Macaca mulatta: one gene and its partner. Each later gene encodes a partner of the first gene's protein in a complex. Links are inferred from orthologs where the notes say so. Each region holds a gene or a part of one and is shown on either strand. Other genes may lie near its edges. The genes, in order: KPNA4 and RANBP3.

Region 1 (3,811 bases):
TTGTAAGGAAAATAAAGACAATTCTGATATTTCAAGGATTTATTTTTTTAACTAGAGCCTAAACTCAAAAATTCAAAGAACTATTCTCCAGTAAAGGATGTGAAAAATCTGAATCGTATTGTGCCCCAGTATAGCTCAGAGACCTAACTATTATGCGTGAGGGTTGAGGTACTGTTTGTAGGGGTCTTGCTAATCTAGTGAAGGAGAATGATTCTAAAGATTATTTTTGCCAAATTCTTTATTCTTGCATGGAAATAATCATTGTTACTTTGATATGCCACCTCTTTATTGCCCTTACACAGGGCTAACATGGAAGTAAGGAGTGGCTATGAGTTTTAAAAGGAGAATTTCCCTGTAAACCATTCTCGACATTGGGTTTATACTATTAGGAATGCGATTGTTTCTATATCCAGAGTCCCTCACTCTTGCTTTTATACCAAATGTTAGATTTAGAGCTATTATACAGCATCTTGATCTTTCATTTTTTATTCCAATCACATTCTGTAATTAACACGAATATATGGATGCAAAAAGAACAAACATTTTATTTCCAAATATTATAGTGCAAGCGAAGGTGTTTTCACTTATGGTAACCTTTTAACATGGCTTCATATATTAGAAACTGCAGTGATGCTTTAGATACAGAAATTAAACTTGTCAGTTCTCTGCAGCAGTTGTTCTCAAACCTTAGCATGCAATCAGAACTACATGGGGTGCTTGTTAAAACAGAATTCCAGACCCATAGAGTTTCTGCTTCAGGAGGCCTGAGCTAGAGCCCAGTAATCACATTGAGAACCACTGTTCTAGCACTGGTTCACCCTTTTTTTCTGACATAGTTTTCTAAGTGTATAGAGTAATTTATAGTTCATAACCTTGATGCTCTGATACTGGATTGTAAGTACAAATTCAACAAATGTTTTCTTGATACATCTTTTTTATCACATGAAAGTTTGTTAAACCGAGAGTAATATTGAGAGAGAAGTTAAAAGCAGCAGTTTAATTAAGAGAGCAGCAAAATGCTGAAGATGGGAATAATGTGCAAAAAAATACCTTATCACCTTATGTTGCCTCTCTTGGCTCAGAAATCTTGAATGGGAGCCTGCTTATTGTCTAAAACTGAACAGTGTATCTGGTTAAAATACATGAAGCAGCGTATTCCCAGTGCTTCGTGTTTTCTGAAAATGCTTACTGTCAATGTTTTATTGAGTTAATCCTTTTTTTCTACAGGTGATGGGCCCCAGTGTAGAGATTATGTCATAAGTCTTGGAGTTGTGAAACCTTTACTTTCCTTCATAAGTCCATCTATTCCTATAACATTCTTAAGAAATGTTACTTGGGTTATGGTCAACTTATGTCGCCACAAAGACCCACCACCACCAATGGAAACCATTCAGGAGGTAAACAGTTAAAAAAAATTAAAAGAGATACCATTATATATGTGTTTTTTATCTGTGTATGTTTTTAAATCTACATATTTCTCTCCTCAGATTCTTCCAGCCCTTTGTGTTTTAATTCATCACACAGACGTAAATGTGAGTAAATGTGTCCCATTATATATTTATGTATGTATGTATTTCTAGGGCTTCCCCTGTGACATAGGGGGGAAATACTGTACTAACACATTGTGTCAGCATACTGTCAGATTTTCCCATATCACGAAATATAATACCAGTTAAGAAATCAAGCATAACTGTTATTTTGGTGTGGGCAATAATGTATGTATATATATATATGTGTTGTAAAAACTGACATTAAAAGTTTTTAAAGTTGCCCGTTAATAGTGATTTCTCTTACTAAGATCGTGTCTTTGATTGTTCATGTGCTTTTTATAAAGGAAGCTCATTTTGACAGTTTGGCCAATGAAAGCACACACAGATAGTGCTATTTTTGTTTTTTGAAAGATGAGAAAGGAAAATGTTTGTGCATGGATTTGTATTCATATACACATACCAAACCATGCACATCAATTGCCCTTTAATTCCATTTTTTATTCTATTTCTCAGTTACAGTGACTGGCAGTGGCTTCATTTATCAAGATAACTCTTGATTATTCAAACAACAAGGAAAAAAAAATCAGTGCAGGCAAGATTTTAAACATAGCAAATATATTTTGCTTATTTTTACTAACACAGATGGCAGAGGAAAAAGCAACTCAGGGAGTATGAATGAGGTGGAAAACTGCCCTGAGTGCTTGTAAAAGCCAGACCAGCCTTTGGTGTGTTAGAGAAACCAGGAATATACTGGGTAAGGGAAGACATATGAATGAAATGTTTAGCAACAATCAGGAACTCATGTGGTTCTTTAAAAACAGTTTGGCATGGTGACCAGTGTTGGACAAGCTGCTTCATTTCTTTACAATTTAAAGGCCTGTACCTTTTGGCCAGAATTTAATTTGTCTGGAACAAATTAAAATTAGAATTTTACTGTATCAAACAGTTAAATAATATTTTGCTTTGAAAGATTTACAAGAGGCCAGGTGTGGTGGCTTATGCCTATAGTCCCAGCACTTTAGGAGGCTGAGGCAGGAGGATCACTTGAGTGCAGAAGTTCGAGACCAGACTGGGCCACATGATGAAACCCTGTCTCTATAAAAAATACAAAAAAATTAGCCAGGCATAGTGGTGTGCACCTGTAGTCTCAGCTACTCGGTGGCTGAAGCCAGAGAATCTCCTGAGCTTGGGAAGTCAAGGCTGCAGTGAGCTGTGATCATGTCACTGTACTGCAGCCTGGGTGACAGAGCAAGACCCTGTCGAGAGAGAGAGAGGGAGAAAGAGAGAGAGAGATTAACTTCAAAGTTTATACCTCTACTGGAAAACAGGACATCTTGGTTGACTTTTATTTAGAGATGTATTGTGTTCTTTCCACCTATTTCCTCCAATCTAGATGAGATTGTGACTCTATTTTCTTGCCTTTGATGTTTCTTGAAGAATTTCTCAAGTCTGTTTGCATCATTCTTTTTAGTAACATGATTAACAAATAATATTGCTTACTAAATAATGTTTTAGAAGTTTGATTTGAATTTTGATTTTGATCTGAGCATATTAGTGACATGTCCTTTAAAAACATGTATCTAGCTTTTATATACAGTTATGAGCAAGTAACTTGAAATTTTTGGCCTATGTCAACAAATTTTAGCATATGTTGATATTCCAGAAAAGAAACTCAGTTACATTTGCAAATTGAAATTTAGGTTTTTTCACATACGTTGATACCACTCTTTCTGGGTGAACTCTTTTTTTTTTTTTCTTTTTGAGATGGAGTCTCGCACTGTCACCCAGGCTGGAGTACAGAGGCATGATCTCCACTCACTACAACCTCCACCTCCTGGGTTCCAGCGATTCTCTTGCCTCAGCCTCCAGAGTAGCTGGGATTACAGATGCCCGCCACCACACCTGGCTAATTTTTTTTTGTATTTTTTAGTAGAGACAGGGTTTCAGTATGTTGGCCAGGCTAGTCTTGAACTCCTGACCTCGTGAGCCACCTGCCTCGGCCCCCCAAAGTGCTGGGATTACAGGCGTGAGCCACCACGCCCGGCCTGTGCAAACTCTTTTGTTTGATATCTTCTTTTTACATTAGAAATATCTTTAGCGCTTTCGGCCGGGCGCGGTGGCTCAAGCCTGTAATCCCAGCACTTTGGGAGGCCGAGACGGGCGGATCACGAGGCCAGGAGATCGAGAGACGATCCCGGCTAACACGGTGAAACCCCGTCTCTACTAAAAAATACAAAAAAACTAGCCGGGCGAGGTGGCGGGCGCCTGTAGTCCCAGCTACTCGGGAGGCTGAGGCAGGAGAACGGCGTAAACCCGGGAGG
Region 2 (4,399 bases), on another chromosome or scaffold:
AGTATTTATATCTATATATATGGGGGGGTTCTTGCTCTGTCCCTAGGATGGTGGCAGTGGCACTGTTGTCATAGCTCACTGCAGCCTCAACCTCCTGGGCTCATGTGATCCTCCTGCCTCAGCCTCCCGAGTAGCTGGCCTGCACCACCACACCCGGGTAATTTTTGTGTTTTTGTAGAGATGGGGTCTTGCTCTGTTTTCTAGGCTGGGTTTGAACTGAGCTCAAGAGATCCTCCCACCTTGGCCTCCCACAGTTCTGGGATTACAGGGGTGAGCTACCGCATCAGGCTGGTTACATTTTTAAAAGACTCCTCAGCCTGCGGCCATGGGCAGAACAGAGCCTGGGGCTTCCAAAGAATGCAGCAAAGTCCAAGTCTTCCATGAGACTGTCCAAGTCTTCCATGAGACAGATAGGGACGATGTGGCCTAGGGTGGTGACAGCCTGGCTGGGGAGAAAGCGTGGATCTGGGCTGTATTTTGGAGGCAAGGCCAGGTCCGAAGGATTTGCTGACAGATTCATAGCAGGTGAGTAGAAAACAACTCCAGGGTGTCCGGGACCCTCCCATGAGCCTTGCGAGTGAGGCTGATGGTCCCATTTTCCAGATGGGGAACCTGGAGGCGCGCGGGGTCCAACACCCTCCCATGAGCTTGTGAAGTTGATTCTCGTGGCTCCGAGGGGTCGAGTTCCACGCGCCGGGTCCCCCCTGCCCCCCGCCAGCACCTGCGTCCCAGGGCTGCGCTCCCTCCTCGCGCCTGACCACGACCCCCGCCCTCGCCGATGAGCTCTGATTCCCCCCAATCCCAAGCACCCCGCGCCCTCTCGCCACTTCCCCCGTGGTTTCAGGAAAGGGTTTGCTGAAGGTAACGGCTCCTAAGGCGGGTAAACTGAGGCAGGAGGTAACGCGTCTCCCGCCCGCGCGTGTGGGAAGCCGCCGCAGGCCCGGGGGTTTACCTGGAGGAAGACCTCGGCTGAGGCGTCCTGAACTGCTCACTGTCCCACCGCGGGGGATCCCCGGAAAACGAGCGGGAAAAACGAGAGCCTCAAGACCCGCCTCGCGCCGCGCGGCGCCGCCTCACTAAACTTTCGTCGCTGCCACTGCGCATGCGCCCTTCCCGGCCCTGTCCCCGCCCCCTCAGTCGGCGGGAAAAGGAGGCGGGAGACGGCTCGTGCGCAGGCGTGTGTTGGGAGCGCGGCTCCGCAGGGCAGGCGGCTTGGCCCGGCAGGCGATCTGAAGCTCGCCTCCGCGCGGCGCTCAGCGCGCAGGCGCGAGCTGGCCGCCTCACAGGGAGTAGGCTTGTTAAGTGCGCACGCGCGGGAGTTTCTGGCAGAAAGCAGGCGAGCCTGGGCCGGCGCGGGGCCTTGTGGGAGGGCTTAAGGAAGTAAAATGGCGGACCTGGCGAACGAAGGTAGGGGAGGCGCCGTCGGGGACCGGCTGGCGGCCGGGGAACGGGCAGCGGGAGGACCAGAGGCCACAAGCCTGTGGGGGGAACACCGCAGAGTGCAAGGGTTTCGTCCGCTTCAGGCTAGCACCCTGGCGGGCCCTGCAGCCGCCCCCTATTGCCTCCCCTCAGGTCGGGCTCACCGGCCCGGCCCATCACTCCCGGCAGCCTCGGCTCCTGCAGCCGTTTGGCTAGAGGAGCCGGGAGGCCGTCGAGATCGCAGCCCTAAGGGCCCTCTGCGTCGCAGCCAAGCTCGGGGCTGAAGGGGGCGGGAGTAGCGGCCCCAGTGCTTCGGCCACAGATGTAAATAGACCTTGGGGCCTGGTCGTGGCCCGGAGCGCGCCACGCTCCCTCCCCGCCCCCTCGTCCTCCGCCACCCGACGTCTCCCCTTCCCCGGCCTGGCTGCCTATCTCCTGAGCCCGTGAGGCCCTCGTCCTCCGCGGACCAGCCGCACACCGCGGCCGGAGGAAGCCCAGGCCGTTTTCACCGCGTCCCCGCCCCGAACTTCGGCCCCCACTTCCCGCCAGTTCCCCCCGGATCCTTCGGGGCGCCTCGTCTCCCCCTCATTTAGGCCCCGCCGCAGGATCTGGGCCGCCGAAAGCCCTGGCTGCTTTTTGGTCCTTTTTGCTGCGCTTCCAGACAGAGACCGTGCGAATCCCTCCTCTGTGGAGCGCTGACAGCCCACCTGAGTGTTTTTGACAAGGTTACACTTCCAGATCCCCCGAGAAGGCACCGTAAGGCTGATGTCTGCTTCCATCCACAGTCGTGTTGCCATGGCTGTAGCTTCAGGACTTCTGAGGCCTATTTTTAGCTCCCCCTTCTTCTAGTTGCACAAATGCAGGCAATCTCTCTACCTGTCTGGCCCTGATTCCCTCATCCGGTGCTCCCTGTAGCTGGAGAGTTTTCCATCCCGAATTGCACTAATGAATGAATTATGATAGGAAGTGCTCGGTCTTGTGGAGCATTTAGGGTAGTACCAGTTAAGGTGCAAAGTCCTGACATACTGTTTTCCCTGGGAGGAGGTATAGATACTGTTAGCCCCATTCACTTGATGAGGAAACTAAGTCAGCCTGGTTACGTCGCTTATCCAAGGCATGTCACACAGCTGGGAAGGAGCAGGGATGTGAACCAAGGTGGCCTGGCTTCAGATGCCAGACCACGGGGTCTCGGACTTTTAAAGATTCTGATTCTGTGTGGTGTTGGGCGGGCGCTGGGCATCTGTACAGGAAGCAGCACAGGTGGGCTCCCTGATTCTTGGCCATTTTATTCTATTTTATTTTTTGAGACGGAGTCTCGCTCTGTTGCCAGGCTGTGCAGTGATGTGATCTCGGCTCACTGCAATCTCCGCTTCCCGGGTTCAAGCGATTCTCCTGCCTCAGCCTCCCGAGTATCTGGGATTACAGGCGCGCGCTACCACATCCAGCTAATTTTTGTATTTTTAGTAGAGACGGGATTTCACCATGTTGGCCAGGATGGTCTTGATCTCCTGACCTCGTGATCCACCCGCCTCAGCCTCCCAAAGTGCTGGAATTACAGGCGTGAGCCACTGCGCCCAGCTGCTACATCTCTTTTTTTAAGATAAAGGAGCCCGTGGAGGGTTGCAGCGTTCCAACTCATGAGATCTAGTTACAGAGGGAATGGGTAAGTGGGAATCAATATGACATATTTTATGTATTTACATCCTGAGCCCATATAGTTTCTTGAACTCAGGACTCATGTCCAGCATCACATTTGGACATCTCCATTTGGATGTGTCATAGGCTTGTCTGGAGCATTTCCAAAACAAAAATCCTTATCTCCACCACACCCACCCATCCCATGGTCTTTCACCCATTGTAGTTAGGCAGATCCATTCTTTGAATTCCTCAGGCCCCAAACCTTGGAGTCATCCCTGGTTTCCCTCTTTCTCATACTCCACAGCAAATTCTGTCATTTCTACCTTAAAATTATTTCCAAAGGGGGACCACCACTTCTCCCCACCAAGACTGTCAATGCTTGGGCCCCTGTTCCCTCCACCCTTACCCTACTGAAAACTTCTCAACCCATAGTGGGCCCCAGTGCCTCCCTGTCCTTCTCTCTCACCACTCTCCGCTGACTTGCTCTGTGCTAACTACTCTAGCTTTTTCAGTTTTCCTTGAATGTTCCATACACTCCCCGCTTTTAGCCTTTTCTCCTACTGATTCCTCTAACTGAAACAGTTTTCCCCCAGATACCCCCGTGGCTCACTTCTTCTGGTTTTTACTCATATGTTACTTTATTAATGAGAGCTTCTCTGGCCACCTATTTCAAATTATATCCACGTTCTCTATTCCGTTCACCTAGCTTGATTTTCCTGTACAGCTCTTACAATCCAGCATGCTAGATGTTACTTGCATGTTTGCCTCGTGTACGCTCCATGAGGTCAGGGATTTTTATGTCATGATCACTGATTACCCCCTTGCATCTAGAACGGTGCCTGGCACAGAGTAGGTATACAAGAAATATTGGTTGAATGAATGAATGAATGAATGAATGAATTCACCAGTGAGGACCCTGTTGTGAGGAATACATTTGAGCACAAAGGGAAAATTATGGATTGCCCTTTTCCAGGGGATACTCTTTCTAGCATATGCGGTACACGTGAGCTGTTGGTTGTAAATGGCATAGTTGAACTGGTAAGGGCCAAAGAGAGAAATGGAATGTTTTGAACTTCACTTTTTTTCCCTAGTAAATGCCACACTCACCTAGCACGTTATCCCTGACACTAGTTCAAGGATCGCTGTCTTGAGGAAATCAAACCTTGGTGGACTTTGTGCCTCACATATTCCTGCAGTCCTTTAATCAGTCATGGTGTTTCTTGAACACTCCATTTCTGGTTTTGGCTTGTACAGCCTGCCAGGATGTTTAATTTCGTATTCACTGTGTAAAGTGGGGCCTCCTTGCCTGCGCCTTTTGAAGTTTTAGGGACTGCCCCATGGT

What was found.
Region 2: the proteins of KPNA4 (region 1) and RANBP3 are in contact, whole or in part, in a crystal structure (PDB 5XZX), measured with the Homo sapiens proteins. The link is inferred for Macaca mulatta from reciprocal best matches to the Homo sapiens genes KPNA4 and RANBP3. Residues at the interface, in NP_002259.1 of Homo sapiens: Arg96, Leu99, Ser100, Asp102, Arg103, Pro105, Phe133, Trp137, Thr140, Asn141, Ala143, Ser144, Gly145, Thr146, Ser147, Thr150, Glu175, Gln176, Trp179, Gly182, Asn183, Gly186, Asp187, Asn219, Trp222, Val225, Asn226, Arg229, Asp261, Trp264; in NP_015561.1 of Homo sapiens: Asn114, Tyr115, Cys116, Pro117, Pro118, Val119, Lys120, Arg121, Glu122, Arg123, Thr124, Ser125, Leu127.

The regions. Positions count from the first base shown.
Region 1 is NC_133407.1:63,694,389-63,698,199, reverse strand, and holds part of KPNA4 (importin subunit alpha-3), read left to right. Parts: intron 1-1,227; coding exon 1,228-1,397; intron 1,398-1,487; coding exon 1,488-1,532; intron 1,533-3,811. UniProt on the Homo sapiens protein: Functions in nuclear protein import as an adapter protein for nuclear receptor KPNB1. Binds specifically and directly to substrates containing either a simple or bipartite NLS motif.
Region 2 is NC_133424.1:6,857,233-6,861,631, reverse strand, and holds the start of RANBP3 (ran-binding protein 3), read left to right. Parts: upstream 1-1,368; 5' UTR 1,369-1,385; coding exon 1,386-1,407; intron 1,408-4,399. UniProt on the Homo sapiens protein: Acts as a cofactor for XPO1/CRM1-mediated nuclear export, perhaps as export complex scaffolding protein. Bound to XPO1/CRM1, stabilizes the XPO1/CRM1-cargo interaction. In the absence of Ran-bound GTP prevents binding of XPO1/CRM1 to the nuclear pore complex.